2 linked regions of the Xenopus tropicalis genome follow. The protein of the gene in region 1 binds, or shares a complex with, the protein of each later gene. Links are inferred from orthologs where the notes say so. Each region holds a gene or a part of one and is shown on either strand. Other genes may lie near its edges.

Region 1 (3,753 bases):
ACTTGGGAGACTAGAGGCTTTCCAAATCTTGCATTTTCAAGAATATAATGCATTATATTTCTGAAATATGTTTCTATATTTGAAAACTATTTAATGCTTTCAGTTTTTAGGTAAATGTATAGCTTTTTTTTTGGAATTACAAAAAAATTTAAATTTAAGAAAGCTAAAGTTGTCCTGACAAAAGCAGTAGTGTTCCCAGGTAAACAAAGAAATCTTCTAGGCTCCTAAAAGCAGAAAAAGATCACACAAAATATTTAAGAAACAGCTGGTTCTGAGTGCATTTTAAGTGTAAAGCTTGGCTGGCACTCCTACTTAGTAAATAACCCAGTGTGTGTTCTTAGGGGTATGTTGTAGCTGGTCCCACCATGGTCATTTCATTGCCTTCAAATGTTTTGATATGGGTAATTAGTATTTACAGTGGAATCTTCACTACTATATAAATTCATTTAACTGTAGTGGGTGTTTAATAAATGTGTTTTAGAAATGTAGGGACCCATAGGGTTAAATGCCCTATGGAGTGATATCCCTATCTCTTCACATTGATCCCTTGTTACTGGGCAGAAGCCTTTGTAACAGTTTATGGTTATGCCTATCCTTTATTGGCCCATATGGTTGTCCACACCCTTTGCAGCCTCATGTAGTGTCTAGCAAGGAGGTGCGGCTTCCTCTTCTTGCTGGTCTGCTACCTATGTAAAACCCTCCATTGAGCCTGGGTGCAGACACAGGCCCCAGTAAGCATTATCATTGAAGTAAAGTTGGGGACAGGGCCCCGTGAACAAGGTAAAGGTAGTTGCAGGATTAGACTTTGTCATAGCACGCTCTAGGAGTGTGACTCAGTCAGGGCTATTTAGAAAGAGCAGCTTTCCGCTCCAACCAAGGAGAATTTAGTGGGTTTACCATACCTAAGGCTCTGTCTGCCTTGCTGTAGGGACCACAGTTCAGACACAGGTATCAGGCTAGTATTTACCCCTGAACCACTGTTGGCTATAGGGATCCGGTCCAGTAAAAGGTATTCATCCTTGGGACTTCTGGCTAGTAGCTCACATCTATCTCCACTGTGGTGCTGCACTGTTCTGTACTTCACAACTGCTATTAACAACTGTACCATTCTACCTCAATTACTGTGAGTATGGATTGATCCCTGTGCTAATATTATCTGTCTTGGACAATAAAGAGTTAACTAGTTCATCTGCAAGAGCTCCTGGCGTCCTATTACTTTAACACTACACAGTACCAGTGGGAGTTGCAGTACAACTATATCTTGGGATCTATCCTTCCACTTAGCGAAGGCCCACTCCTTTGAAAGAGAGTCCCAATGAGCCCCATGCTCTAACCATAGCCTGGAGTTTAGAGTGCTTTTTAGCCAAAAAGGGGTTACAGAAACATATCAAAAGAATTCAGCAAGAGAAATCTGAGAATAAATATAAATGACATTTATTTTTTGCGCTGTAAAAGACATGGATGTCTGTATAACTTCCTTAGAAACAAAACTCCATCTCCAGCACACGCTTGAGGAAGAAATAGAACTTTTAGAGATTGGCGCTCTACTAGTTCTGCCTATGGAAACTTGATGCGGCGGCCGTGTTCCCGGTGTTTGATTGGTGAGGTCTGGGAAGATGGCTTCTTCTGATCAGGCTGATCAGTCAGTGCAGGTAAGGCGCGGGTATTCCTCATTTCAAGAGACGCGTTACGGTTTGACTATGTTATATTTACATTGTTTGGATTTATAATAGGTCGCCACGGAGGGCGTGGGTCAGGGGGTCTTAATTTTCTTGGTTGTTCGATTAGTGCACCTGTTATTCCACAGCGTAACTTCCCGTGTACACATGGCCCAACATTGGACCTTAACTGGTAGCAGTAGCGGTTCAGATTTGCCCGTAACGTGACAGTTGCTCTCCTTCCGCTCCTTACTTTTTTCGCCACATAACTATTAGGCAAGTAACATACTGGAAAACTTGTTTGTAATACAGTAGTTGAAAATTGCTGACCTGCCCTGATTTAGTTTTCCCTGATGAATGCAGTGTATCACTTTGGCACCAGACTCATGCAATTTATAAAGGGGTTCACAATTTTCTTTAGTTATATTGAAAGACCTAGCTAAAAGATTGTTTATAATTAATTCCCCCCATCATTGTGGAATATGTGCATCAGTTACAAACTGGTGATGTTTTGCTGCGATTTATTTTAATTTGACATTTTATTAAATAAATTATTTCCTAAATGTTTCATATATTTCCAACACGGGCCGCTGTGTCTGTATCTTGTATTGATCTTAAAGCTGTTGTTCAGCAGGTTAGTCCAAAGGTTGGTAATGTTTGTAGACTGTGCAAAGTACATGTTTTAACAGCTTTGGTGTAAGGGGTTTGTGGTACAGAGGTGGTATAGGAAGCTGCAAATACTAAGATGTCAGTGTGTACTAATGAGTGTAGCCAGGGCCATAGTGGAAATCTTTGGGTTCTCTACAGACTCATGATTATCATGTAGGGTCTTGTCTACAGACATTGCACATTAGCCATCTACTCTGTGCCCTCATGTACTGCTAACCAAGTTAGTGGGTGGCATCTGAAAGGCCACCTCAGGGTGGCACACAGTCCCGAATTGCTTCTGTACCCACTTGTAAGCATTAGTATGTTAGATTTGTGCCATTACTGGATAGGTGTTTAAAGGTTAAAAACTGATCCTTGCTGTGCTCTGAACCAGGGTTGTCATTAGAGCAGGTTGGGTTGTCAGTAGTTAGAAAAAATTATATATTACACGGGAGCACTTACCGCCAGTCCAAATGTGCTAGCACGCGGACCCACTCCCCAGGGTCCGAAAAACAAGGCGTGTAGAAAAAATAAATAAATAGCGGAGCACCACGAGGATGAAGTTAAAATCCAGTCTTTATTCCATCTTAGATAAAAGGCACATGCACATCCCTCAGGGTCTAACGCTTAACGCGTTTCGTGGCCTATCGATAGGCCACGAAACGCGTTAAGCGTTAGACCCTGAGGGATGTGCATGTGCCTTTTATCTAAGATGGAATAAAGACTGGATTTTAACTTCATCCTCGTGGTGCTCCGCTATTTATTTATTTTTTCTACATGGGTTGTCAGTAGGGCATGTTTTCAATAATATATCTGCCATTGTACCATGTTGGGCAGTGCATGGTATATTTCAGATAAGGAATTGTGGTGGTTGCCCTGAACAGGACAATAGTAAGGTATAGCCTTTTATATGATCTTGGTCTGTTCAGCCCACAGGCTGTATCTGGATAATGATGAGCATGTGTGCCCACTTTAAAGGGGTTTTTCACCTTTAAAATTAACTTATAATATGAGGTAGACATTGATATTCTGAGACAGTTTTTCAATTTTTGATTTTTTTCAGTTATTTTGCTTTTTGTTAAGTAGCTCTCCAGTTTGGAACTTCAACACCTTTCTGGTTGCTATGGTCTTGCTTACCTTAGCAACCAGGCAGTGGTGTGAATGAGAGACTGGAATATTGATAAAAGAGGAGCTAAATAGAAAGAAAAGTAATAAAAAGTAACAATAAAAATAATATTGTAGCCTCACAGAGCAATAGGTTTTTTTGGCTAGTGGGGTCACTGACCCCCTTGGGAGAGTTGGAAAGATGTAGCTGAAGAAGGCAAATAATTAAAAACTATAACAAATAAATAATAAAGACCAATAGCAAAGTTTTCTTTAATGTGAACCACCCCTTTAAGTTAAATTGTGTTTACATAGTAACATTTCTTTTATGAAAAATGTATTG
Region 2 (3,653 bases), on another chromosome or scaffold:
GCTGGCAGGGAGTCCCGGTGAGTCCTCAGCCACTCTGGGTACTGGGCAAAGGCAGGAGAAATCAGTGTAACTCATTTACTGAACCTGACAAAGAAAATTGTGACCTGGGAAGTTATCTGCAGCAGCCAATCAAAATGATTGCTTTTTTTTTTTACTGGCAACTGGCTGCACTAAGCTAATAACAGATGCTAAATAAGTCCCTGTGCTTGCTTCAATATTGACCCAATGCTGATTGCAGGATTAATGGCTTCATGGCCCTAAAATTCAAAATTTTAACTAGCATATTCCTTCCAAAAGGTTAAAAGTGTAAAATCTTAAGGAAAATATGATTTTCTGCACTATGAATTAGCAGATAAATATAAGCGTCATTTTAATGAGACTCAGCATTACTGTAGTTATTAAGAGAAAGCATTCAATAACTGTACAATGGCCAAAGCTCCCTAACAATAAGGTTACAGATATATAGAGACATTGGGGTAACAGTCACCCTGCTATAGTTCCAGGGGTACCCAGGGCACAAATAAGCACTCACCCCAAATCCCCCCCTAACTGGCCTTCAGGCTGGGCCCCTTAGCCCATAACAAGGTTACAGATATATAGAAACATTGGGGTAACAGTCACCCTGCTATAGTTCCAGGGGTACCCAGGGTACAAATAAGCACTCACCCCAAATCTCCCCCTAACTGGTCTTCAGGCTGGGCCCCCTTAGCCCATAACAAGGTTACAGATATATAGAAACATTGGGGTAACAGTCACCCCGCTATAGTTCCAGGGGTACCCAGGGCACAAATAAGCACTCACCCCAAATCCCCCCCTAACTGGCCTTCAGGCTGGGCCCCCTTAGCCCATAACAAGGTTACAGATATATAGAAACATTGGGGTAACAGACACCCTGCTATAGTTCCAGGGGTACCCAGGGCACAAATAAGCACTCACCCCAAATCCACCCTAACTGGCCTTCAGGCTGGGCCCCCTTAGCCCATAACAAGGTTACAGATATATAGAAACATTGGGGTAACAGTCACCCCGCTATAGTTCCAGGGGTACCCAGGGCACAAATAAGCACTCACCCCAAATCCCCCCCTAACTGGCCTTCAGGCTGGGCCCCCTTAGCCCATAACAAGGTTACAGATATATAGAAACATTGGGGTAACAGACACCCTGCTATAGTTCCAGGGGTACCCAGGGCACAAATAAGCACTCACCCCAAATCCCCCCCTAACTGGCCTTCAGGCTGGGCCCCCTTAGCTCATAACAAGGTTACAGATATATAGAAACATTGGGGTAACAGTCACCCCGCTATAGTTCCAGGGGTACCCAGGGCACAAATAAGCACTCACCCCAAATCCCCCCCTAACTGGCCTTCAGGCTGGGCCCCCTTAGCTCATAACAAGGTTACAGATATATAGAAACATTGGGGTAACAGTCACCCCGCTATAGTTCCAGGGGTACCCAGGGCACAAATAAGCACTCACCCCAAATCCCCCCCTAACTGGCCTTCAGGCTGGGCCCCCTTAGCCCATAACAAGGTTACAGATATATAGAAACATTGGGGTAACAGTCACCCTGCTATAGTTCCAGGGGTACCCAGGGCACAAATAAGCACTCACCCCAAATCCCCCCCTAACTGGCCTTCAGGCTGGGCCCCCTTAGCCCATAACAAGGTTACAGATATATAGAAACATTGGGGTAACAGTCACCCCGCTATAGTTCCAGGGGTACCCAGGGCACAAATAAGCACTCACCCCAAATCCCCCCTAACTGGCCTTCAGGCTGGGCCCCCTTAGCTCATAACAAGGTTACAGATATAACCTTGTTTCTCACCAACCCATTGGATGTTGCTCCCAGGGGTCTCAAAACAGGTGCTTATGAATTTTTGAATTTCTGACTTAATGAGACATAATGACCAGGTGTACCAAACAGATCCTTCTGTAGGCTGCCAGTCCATATAGAGGCTACCATATAGCCAATCACAGCCCTTATTTGGCACCCCTGGAACTATTTGTATGCTTGTGTTGCTCCTCAAATCTTTTTACATTTGAATGTGGCTCACAAGCCAGGGTCTAGGTCCTCACCTTTTCTGTGATCTCTTTGAGGGACGGATACAAGACTTCCTTGGAGAGGAGATTCTGCATAATGTTCTGCATGAGAGGCAGGATGTTTCCATCCCCTTCACCATCGTCCATCCCCAAACCCTCCATTGTCTTGGCCAGCTCTTCCTCCGATAGGCTGGAGTTCTGTATAGGAGAAATGGAGATGTGTAAGTCACTCAGAATTGTTCCTTACTGCCTAACAAACTGGCACCCCCTAGTGGCTGAGGCTTTCTCTGTCTCCCTCGTTTGGTCTTGCACATTATAATCACATATTGAGGCACTTTACCTCTGCAGAGGCCACCGTTTCTTACCTGCAATTCGTCTGCATTCTTGGCTAGACCTGAGAGTGTCTCTTTCAGGCAGGAAGTAAATTCTTGCTGTGACGTCTCATCACTTCCTGTTGGCAAAAGGAGGCAGCCATGTTGTTTTGTATAAAGTAATTTCCTTGTTTAATCTACAATAAGATCTTAGCAAGTTTGTGAGGTGCACTATGATCCGCTCCAGGGAGCCGCCTATGGTGCTCAAGGTCCAAATCGCTAGGCTATTTTCACTATTAGGCTGGCTGTATCATATCTATTATCTAAGGGCATACAAAGTGCACCTTTTTTATTATTTTTAAGTTCTTCTTTTGGGGCTGGTTAAATGAAGGGGGGGTGGGGCTTTGAACCTTCTGAGATGTCTATTCCTTTCCCCATCTCCATTCTTACCAACTTTCCCTGCAGCCTCCGAGAGTTTCTGGAACTGTTCCACCAAGTGAGGCTCTTCCTCTGCCAGCTCCTTCATGGCCTTCTCAAACTCCTGTGTGGCCTGGGCTGCCAGCTCAGTGCTGAACAACTCTTGGAAGAACTGTTCTTGGGACGTGAAGAGGGCGTCCTGTTGGGAGCAGAGAAAGGATAACCAAATGGGGATCTGTTCCCTTGTCAAAAATTGTCTCCGACAACATGGGACAGAGCCGACTCACCTTGGCAGCATCTCCAGAAGGTTTCTCAGGCCCAGAAGCTGTTGTAGCTGTGTTTGAGGCTTGGGGAGGTTGGTTAGTCTTCTCAAAATCATCAAGGGCACCTTGGAAAAAAAACAAATATTTTGGACACACAGAACATTTTGATTTCAAACACTTTTTAAACCTTAACCTCATCATCAGAATGATTCTAATCTCTAAGAGATTGATAGTAGGGAGAGATGGTGCCTCTGGGGGGATAATAGCCTCTGGGAAGGGACTGGGGCTGTGGGATTGCAGGTATAGTAGGGAGAGATGGTGCCTATAGTAGCAGTGGGGGGATAATAGCCTCTGGGAAGGGACTGGGGCTGTGGGATTGCAGGTATAGTAGGGAGAGATGGTGCCTATAGTAGCAGTGGGGGGATAATAGCCTCTGGGAAGGGACTGGGGCTGTGGGATAGCAGGTATAGTAGGGAGAGATGGTGCCTATAGTAGCAGTGGGGGGATAATAGCCTCTGGGAAGGGACTGGGGCTGTGGGATAGCAGGTATAGTAGGGAGAGATGGTGCCTAATAGTAGCAGTGGGGGGATAATAGCCTCTGGGAAGGGACTGGGGCTGTGGGA

What was found.
Region 2: the proteins of pex14 (region 1) and pex19 are in contact, whole or in part, in an NMR structure (PDB 2W85), measured with the Homo sapiens proteins. The link is inferred for Xenopus tropicalis from reciprocal best matches to the Homo sapiens genes PEX14 and PEX19. Residues at the interface, in NP_004556.1 of Homo sapiens: Leu28, Thr31, Ala32, Lys34, Phe35, Asn38, Ser39, Arg40, Val41, Ser44, Thr48, Phe52, Lys56, Leu58; in NP_002848.1 of Homo sapiens: Gln67, Phe70, Phe71, Leu74, Phe75, Ser77.

Annotation. Positions count from the first base shown.
Region 1 is NC_030683.2:64,045,917-64,049,669, forward strand, and holds the start of pex14 (peroxisomal membrane protein PEX14), read left to right. Parts: upstream 1-1,544; 5' UTR 1,545-1,616; coding exon 1,617-1,652; intron 1,653-3,753. UniProt on the Homo sapiens protein: Component of the PEX13-PEX14 docking complex, a translocon channel that specifically mediates the import of peroxisomal cargo proteins bound to PEX5 receptor.
Region 2 is NC_030684.2:138,225,504-138,229,156, forward strand, and holds part of pex19 (peroxisomal biogenesis factor 19), read right to left. Parts: intron 3,156-3,653; coding exon 3,055-3,155; intron 2,967-3,054; coding exon 2,801-2,966; intron 2,491-2,800; coding exon 2,405-2,490; intron 2,238-2,404; coding exon 2,076-2,237; intron 42-2,075; coding exon 1-41. UniProt on the Homo sapiens protein: Necessary for early peroxisomal biogenesis. Acts both as a cytosolic chaperone and as an import receptor for peroxisomal membrane proteins (PMPs).